Oryzias latipes: one gene and its partner. The protein of the gene in region 2 interacts with the protein of the main gene of each other region in a biochemical or structural test. Links are inferred from orthologs where the notes say so. Each region holds a gene or a part of one and is shown on either strand. Other genes may lie near its edges.

What was found.
Region 1: the proteins of hltf (region 2) and rad18 form a complex in vitro, tested with the Homo sapiens proteins (2 studies listed by BioGRID). The link is inferred for Oryzias latipes from reciprocal best matches to the Homo sapiens genes HLTF and RAD18.

What each region holds. Positions count from the first base shown.
Region 1 is NC_019863.2:2,756,184-2,760,226, reverse strand, and holds the start of rad18 (E3 ubiquitin-protein ligase RAD18), read right to left. Parts: upstream 2,801-4,043; 5' UTR 2,688-2,800; coding exon 2,637-2,687; intron 1-2,636. UniProt on the Homo sapiens protein: E3 ubiquitin-protein ligase involved in postreplication repair of UV-damaged DNA. Postreplication repair functions in gap-filling of a daughter strand on replication of damaged DNA.
Region 2 is NC_019880.2:5,878,504-5,882,644, forward strand, and holds the start of hltf (helicase-like transcription factor), read right to left. Parts: upstream 2,801-4,141; 5' UTR 2,671-2,800; intron 2,036-2,670; 5' UTR 2,034-2,035; coding exon 1,845-2,033; intron 1,768-1,844; coding exon 1,601-1,767; intron 332-1,600; coding exon 189-331; intron 113-188; coding exon 33-112; intron 1-32. UniProt on the Homo sapiens protein: Has both helicase and E3 ubiquitin ligase activities. Possesses intrinsic ATP-dependent nucleosome-remodeling activity; This activity may be required for transcriptional activation or repression of specific target promoters.

The DNA of each region.
Region 1 (4,043 bases), on a different chromosome or scaffold from region 2:
TGTATCACAAATTCTGTGCCTGCAGATCATTTTATCATGTTTTAAAATGTTTCAATGCTCAGATTGAAACGATATACTTAGGAGGAAGTCTGTCCCACTACTTAGTGATGGAAATGTCCAATCCATTAAGAGCTTAGAGAAAGGGAACATCCAACGTTTGATCACAAAATAAGGCAAAGTATTAACCAGCACCATAGAGTCTGAACTTTCAAAGATGCTCCATTTGTAAACCTTTCTAGTAACCTTGTAGCTCCTCTCCACACTCGCTGCAATTTAGAAGTTAGTATAAATGACCAGAAGGAGGCTTTTCAAAGACTTGGTTTGAACAAATCCTATATTTGTCAGTGAGTTGTTTGATCAACATGAAGTACTAGAGTTTTTTTTAATCATCAGTCCCCAGGCAGGTAACTCAAAGCCATAGTAAAACATGAAAGAGTACACTCTAAAACAGTAAATATGAGGTTTGGCTGAGTCCGTGTTGCAGGACTGCTTTGCTTGCAGACAGTCTTTGAGGTAAGTTCTCAGTCTTTTAAGTTAAAATGGTTGGCTAATACTTCCTATATAATGTGGATGTTCTGTAAAGAAATTTCACTTCATTTGCTCTGTCAGTGAATTCAGTCAATCCTTCAGAGACATCCCAAAAGTCCTCAATAATCGGATTCAAAACATATTCAGCAGTTGTGGTTGAACTACCAACCCCTAACTCGAGACTGTAAAATCAGTGAAAACATGTGCAGTTATAGTTATTTTCCTTATGTTTTAAAGAGCCAATATCTCTCGTTATTCAGGAAAACCAATTCAAAATTCCAAAGCAAGTTTTCCTGGAAGGTTTTCTTAAAAAATGATTGTGATCTGAGGTACATTTAACAGCAGCAGGCCTGAAATATCCCTGAAGCCTCTGTGACTTTGTGTCCAATTTTTAAGTGGCAATGAAAACTGGATTTCATTCTAGATTAAAAAGAAAAACAGGCTTTTATGTAGGATATGTAATGAGATATACTACTATATGTGGATAAATTATGGGCGGGAACCTCTAAGATAAAAATGACCATCCTTCTGGAAAAATATCAGTATATTTTCAAATAACAATCCCATTTTTTCCTAGCTTATTCATAAATTCAGGCTGCCTTTCCGAGCTTTTAAGAGTATTAAAATTATTGCATACACAACAATAATCTTTACAAACTCATACTAAATGCCACAATTTTAAAATACCAACAAATTGTTTTTTGCATGAGCTTTTTTAGGTCTTTCCTGAATAATTTATATCTCAACAGACTGTGTAACCCTCCTTTTCATATAATAGCATTTTTCCTTGCCTAGTTGTATCTTACTTGTACTGTATTAACCAAAAAGTTCAAACTGATGTCTAATACACAAATTATAATAGTTAAAATAATTAAGGGATATTTTATAACCATTCATTTTATTCTTTGGTAAGATTTTTTTATATCCTTAAGTAACAATGCAACAATAGTTGCTGTTCTGAAGGAAAGTGCTAATGATGTTTATCTGCAAAAGCTCAACAACCTTATATTTTTATACTGGATTCTAAACATCTGCATTCACTCAGTTATGAGGGTAACTGCCGTAAATTAAGAGAAAATGAGTCGTATCAACAGAAAATATCTTTGGCTTGCCTTATTTACATTTTCAATTCAAGCAACTAGGTTGCAGGAAGATGATCTGACTTGGCCGATGTACTTTTATTTTAAAAAACGTATTTGCTGCAGTCAAAAAACAGAAATTCTTCTTTTTTTAACACCATGATTCCACACAACACCTGGCCTGTCGTTAGTTTACTCAAACCGTAATGGTTACAAAAACAGAAATACTATAGGGTTGTAACGATTAATCCACCTTATTGATCTATAATTCTACAATCCAAACAGATGGATCTGTCTGAGACGAGTTCCTAATGGAATCAACCTATGCTGTCCTAAAACTGTTTCAAAATTAAATAAAACTCAGTACCAGGTATTTGTCTCTGAGTCACACTGACTGGTTGAAGTTTAGTTCTGGATCTATTAGGTCAGTGAATCGTTCAAAATGAACCAATAACAACTATGGATCAGATCAGCAACCACAAATTATGATATGAATTGAATCGTTCAAATAAATCATTACAGCCCTAATAAATACAAATACTAACAAAAGGTGGGCTGATGTTTTAAGGCTCCTGCTGGGTTTTGGCTGGAGAGAAGCACAAGCAGACTCAAAAACTGGATGACAACCCTCTTCTTCAAGTTCGCTCCATCCTCACCTCAAGCGCCAATCTCCAACATCCCGGGCAGGATCAAGCGGGTTTAAAAATTTGGATTACAGTGTACAAACTTTTGTAAAACAATATACGTACACAAATAAATAAGCCCTCTGTGTTTGCGTAATATGAATTGTTGTTGGCGTTACTGCATTAGAACCACAGTTGACCTTACTAACTACTATCAAGCACCGAAAAGTCTATTTTTCCTTGAATCTGCTGCTAAAATGACAGTGAATGAGTGGGTTTTTGAACCAGTGTTGTATAAACTTCGTTTATCCAACGGCAAGTCAATGCCTCTAGCTTGTTCTTGCAGCTAGTCAGCATCTAACAAACCCGGTTTATTTTAAGCACCACAACAGAAGCGATATCTTACTTTCAAACATGCAAGACTTGCTGGTAGATCCGCTTCGATGTGATGGGCCATACTTCAGAACTAACGTTCATTTGTCGAGTCTGTTTATGTTGAAATTAGCTAAAGGCGTTTGTTTCTACTCTGCAGTCCCGCTCTAAAGATCGACATTGACGTCACAGCGGAACTTCCGCGGTGCGTTCAGGGCCGTCCGGTTTCAGGTCTCGACATAAAAAAGAGTCGCATTGATCAGTATTTTATTAAACCCTTGTGCTATCTTAGATGACCCCACCCTTACATTGACGTGTTCTCCCTACCATGACAAAGGTGGATAAAGGTGGAAAGATTTCATGTAATCCATGGACACCAGTGAGGATCGAAAAAAGAAAAAAAGGTTTAGTGCACTGTCTAGTGGGTCCAGATGACCCAACTCCCAATGTTAAAGTGCTAAGGGTTAATTTCATTTATGAAGTTTAATTTTATCAAAAACACAAGTTTTACACACCATTTATAAAAATTAACCTTTTTTTTCAACCAAGTATCATTCTTAAAGTATGCTGGGGAAATAATCAACAGATCCCCCAACCCCCGTTACCTTAAAGACCCATTCCGATTAAAATCCTGTTTTTGGTGTTTTTAACGTGTTCTTGTGCCATTTTTTCTCATGGTGAGGGACATTTAGAGAAAACTAAGCTTAAAATTGCATTTCTGAGTGTTTCTTTATTCAAATCGGTGTGAATGAGGAGCAGACGGAAAAAAAGGTCACTTGTCTATAGCTGCGTTTACATGGGCAAAAGTAATCGGAAAGAACGCCTGATCGGAAGGAAAATGCGTCATGTAAACGCGCCGTTCGGAATAGTGTGCCCCAATCAGACTCGTTCGGATCAAAATTTCTCTTCGATCGAGATAGGTGGGTTAGGCCGATCGTTTATTCGATCGTTGATCATGTAAACGGTCATTCCGATCGTGTGTCACTACTGCTCTGGTTTACGTCATGCATAGATGGTGTTTTGCTGAGAGAAAGCTTAGGAGCTCATAGGGGACCGACCAGCTGCTCTGCGGACGCCCTGTGAAAAGCGCCACTCCACTCTAGCCCCGCTTTTTTTTTTGTGTTTCCAGTTGTGTCCCGACTAAATAAAGGCTGATGTTATTCCCACACATTTACGTGCAGCCAAGATGCAGATTGCAGCGTTTCCCGTATGGTCCTGGCTTTTGTGTCCATCAAGGCTAATGTTGTTAGCCCGTGTTAGCCTCTCCTAACACTGGCTTCTTCCAGCTCCGTTCTTCGACAAAAAAAGCACTGACCACACGGATTAAATAAAAAGATAAGCGAACAGGCGCTTCATAACATTCATAACATTAATAAAAGCACGTTTTGAAGATCGTCTCGCATATTACCGAGCTGCTGCACAAAATAAATGTCTGTGGCAG
Region 2 (4,141 bases):
AACAAACATTTCATGTCGTTAAATCCAGTTACCTCCTCTGCAGTTAGTGGGACAGTCACTCCTTTTTTGGATGAAAAAGCACGAGCGCCTGAAATGCTGTTGGTTTTCTGACCTGAAAGGAAGCAAATAATAGTAAAACCAGACGTGTCTGGAGCATCCACAGACGTTCCTGAAAGACTCAGGCATACCTGCTAATTTGTTTCCGTCTGAGTTCAGTTTGAATCCTCGCCGTTCCATGTTTTCCAGGACTGCATTTTTGTTCTCTTCTTTCCCCCAAAAGGACAAAATGACCGGCATGGTGAACGAGTTGTTTTTTCCGTAAGGTACGACCCTGACAACCACACAGGCAGCGGCGCTCATATCAACTCATTTATGTTCTGTTTTCATCTAAAAGTCAATTTAAAAACAAAACGACAAAAAACCTAATATACATTAAATAAATGAACAATCACAACTAACGTTTGGTGTTCAACAAGAACCCTAATGTTATAGGATGTCTTTCAGAACTGAAAAGCAATATACTTTTATATTTTCAATTTCACAATTTCTTATTTGGTCTAAAATTACAGAAAAGGATTAGGGCCATAGAGAAAGAAAAAAAAAGGGCAAAGAAAATTCTGACGTTAATTGCAGTATTGTGACTTTTTTTCCTCCAATTATTGGATAAAAGTACATCAAAAGAAAATGTAATAACGTATACATGATAAGAAAAAAACAGAAGGAGAAAGAATACGGTAAAAAAAAAAACAACAACATCAAATCTTAAAATTTAAAAAAAAAACTAAAATTTAACTCTTCTTGCTTTAAGAATGAATTATTGAAAAACAAAACAAAATCATGATTTTATAATGTTCTACTAATGAGACATTTACAAATTAGAATAAAACGAGATTTGCAATTCTGTTTATCCATTTTACGGCAAAGTTATGCCGAGACAGAAAAAACTGGCAAATAACCAGAAAAGGCATCAATTCCTGTTGTTACAACCTTTAAAGACCCATTTTGATCTGCTTTCAAAGGGTTTCTAGTGGTCTTTTAATTATGATTATGCTGTTTTTAGCCAAATTCAAAAAAACTTTGTTTATCAGAAATTCCCCTACGAGTTGTCGGTGGAACCATTGGCGTGGAGTAAGCCCACCCTCATTTCCCATCATCCCACTGTTTACACTCTCTCCTGCTACCTTATGTCTCCCAACACCCCCAACCATTACCAGTGCGACAAAAAGGGGATACAGTCGTACAGTTTGGAGGGAGACGTCAGCTCGGATGAGGAAAACAAAGACGTACATGGATCTGTTACTCTGCAGGTGGATGCATCAGAATGCAGTAAATAGGTTCCACATCACAGCTACAAGCTTCTTCAAATGGCACCTTTTCATATTTTTTCTATTTAATATTGAGAAATGCCTAATTTAAGCCTAATTTTCTTTATTGATGTCCTCCATCATCAAAAAAAATACCAAAAGGACATGTTAAAAAACTCCCCAACACACAACTTTCATCAGAGTGGGTCTTTAAAAACTTTTCCAAATTTTATGGAAAGCTCTGAACGTATGAGGAGAAAACCTAAGCGACACAGTGACCGCACCATGACACTCACCCCTCCACTTTAGCCAGGTTGTTGTCCATGACATGGGCCATGGCTGCAGCCAGTTCCCTCTTGATGTGTCCCACCTGGTTGCCATAAACGTTTGCAACCATCACTGCATTGCAGTCGTATGGGTTATGAGGTTCTCGCACCAAGCCCACCATCTCACCCTGGTTCACCTGTCCAGAGAAGAAACCCTCTGAAATGTAGGAGTATTTTTTATGTGTGTGTGTGGAAGAGACAGTCTGACCCTTACCACGCCTGTGTAATATCTGAGGCCCACCACAGAACCCCTCAGGTGGCCGAACAGCACGCTGCCGTCAGCATCCGCCGGCTCTTCGGACGCTGCAGCTCTGATGGCCTGGGACAAAGTCTCATGGCTGTCTGTGAAGAGGTCCACGTCAACGAACCTGCCCCATCCAGACCTCCACCTGTGGGAAAGCATACCTGCAGACAAAAAAAGACGGCAAAGATGAAGAGTTCTGTAACAAAATAAGGCAGTATTTATTTTATATTTTTCAGAAATAAATTATTCTGTATGTAAATAGTATTGAATCCTGCACTAACCAAAAAGCTTCTAGAACAGTTGAAACATGGTCACATTTGAGACTTTAGCAGAATCCTTTACCTATTTTATTTTTTAATCTGTTTTATCTTGCTATTATAATGGCTTTTTTGACATTTTTGATAATTTTCCTGGCAAATGTGAAACTTTTGGCATTTGCACATACTAGTATGGATTGTAATGTGTGATATTCTGTATGTGCAATATTTGTTAATAAAGTTTTTTTTTATTTAAAAAAAATGATGGTTCTGTGGAAACTAACAGTTGCAGGCAGCGGTGCACAACTTAAATTAACTTTCTGCTAGCTCTCATGTTGGAGGTGAGATGTATAGAAGCTTCATACTACTTTGTAGTTTAATTTTCGTTTCAACTACAGTTTTCGAGAAAACGAAACACAGCCATTCTTATGGAAAGTAAAGTAGGTAAGTGTTACTAAGCTAGCACGCGCCGTTTGTTCTCGTGCTAACGGAAGAACACAGAATGTAATAAATATCAGCATATAATAACGAGGCCTTACTTTCGATCTTCCTTCAGTGTTGATAGTTTTTGTACGGTTTCCCTGCAAGTATCCTGCTATCAACTGCGACACAATGTTCACAGCACTTTCAAATGAAACACATCTGCGCCTAGAATAATCCTTCCGTTGTTAACTTTCAAAATAAAACCCAATGACATGCTTTTTGGTGTTATTTTTATTTTTTTATTTGTTTGTTATAGCTGCTTGATGTAGAACTTTGTATAATATAAGAATTTAATTCTGAAGTTGATAATAAAAGTTTTGGTAAGTGCAGTATGTTATCAATCTTTTATGTGGATGCACTGGCAGCAGTCGTCATTTATCCTGTCTTTGCATTACAATGTCATTTTTAGTATGGTTTTATTTTTGTTTTTTTCCATAATTATCAAAAATGAAGATTGTATCTGCATTACATTATTATCACTATTTAATTTATTTTATAAAAACAGTACACCGGGCTCCTGAAGGTATACTTCATCAGTGTACTTCATCAGTTATATTTCATAGTTCATAGTTATAACATAGTTATATTTTTCATACACAAAGAGAGATTTATCATGATTTGATATGGTAGATATAGAAATATTTGCACAAAAATGTAAAGCTTGTGCAACATAAAGACAACAAATTCAACATTTTATGAAATTATAATTCAGATTATATATACTGTGAGCTATTATTGTGTGTTTTTTAGGTGTATTTTTGAGCTCTTAATGATAAAAAACAACGACCCTCAATTATTCATGTTGGATATTTTGTTTTGAAAATCTAAAGAATCCAACTTGTTGGTTCCGTTGAGGTCAACACACATGCGCAGTGCATATCTGTTTGAAGATACACTTTAGTTCTTCGTAATCGTTCTTTCACCGATGTTGTTTGGAATTATATTGATTATATCTTTCTCTGCGCGAGTTTCATATGCATTGCATTTAGCTAAATTCAGGGAAAAGTATTTACATTTTTAATTTTGATTAAATGTGAGCGCTACGGGTGCCGCTAGGTCCCGAATCCTCATGTTTGTGCGAGGTTCCGCTTCCTCTTCTCTCCACCAGGTTCCTCCTTGGACCGAACGAAGCACAGAGTGCCGGGAGAGAAAAAACGACAAAAGTCCACCGTGTCTGAGAAACCGCCGTTTCTCTTGACGAACGTGGAAGTCTTCGCGAAATCTCCGGCTCAAATCTGGATTTATAGTCGGATTCAAAGTAAGTAAGCCACTGGAGAACGTTTGAGGATTTACCCAGACAGACAGAGCAGAAATTCAAATTACGACCTGCAGATACTTGTTGGCACAACACAGGTGAGCTCTATAGTTTATATGAGTTATTGGATCACTTTTACTGTCACTTTGTTGGGACTTCCTTTCTCTTCCACTTGTAAAGAAACCAACTTATCGATCTGTTGAGTAGTAACTTAGTTAAGTGAAATCAGTTCGGTGAAATGATCCCTGCTCATACTTTTTTTTTGCAGTATT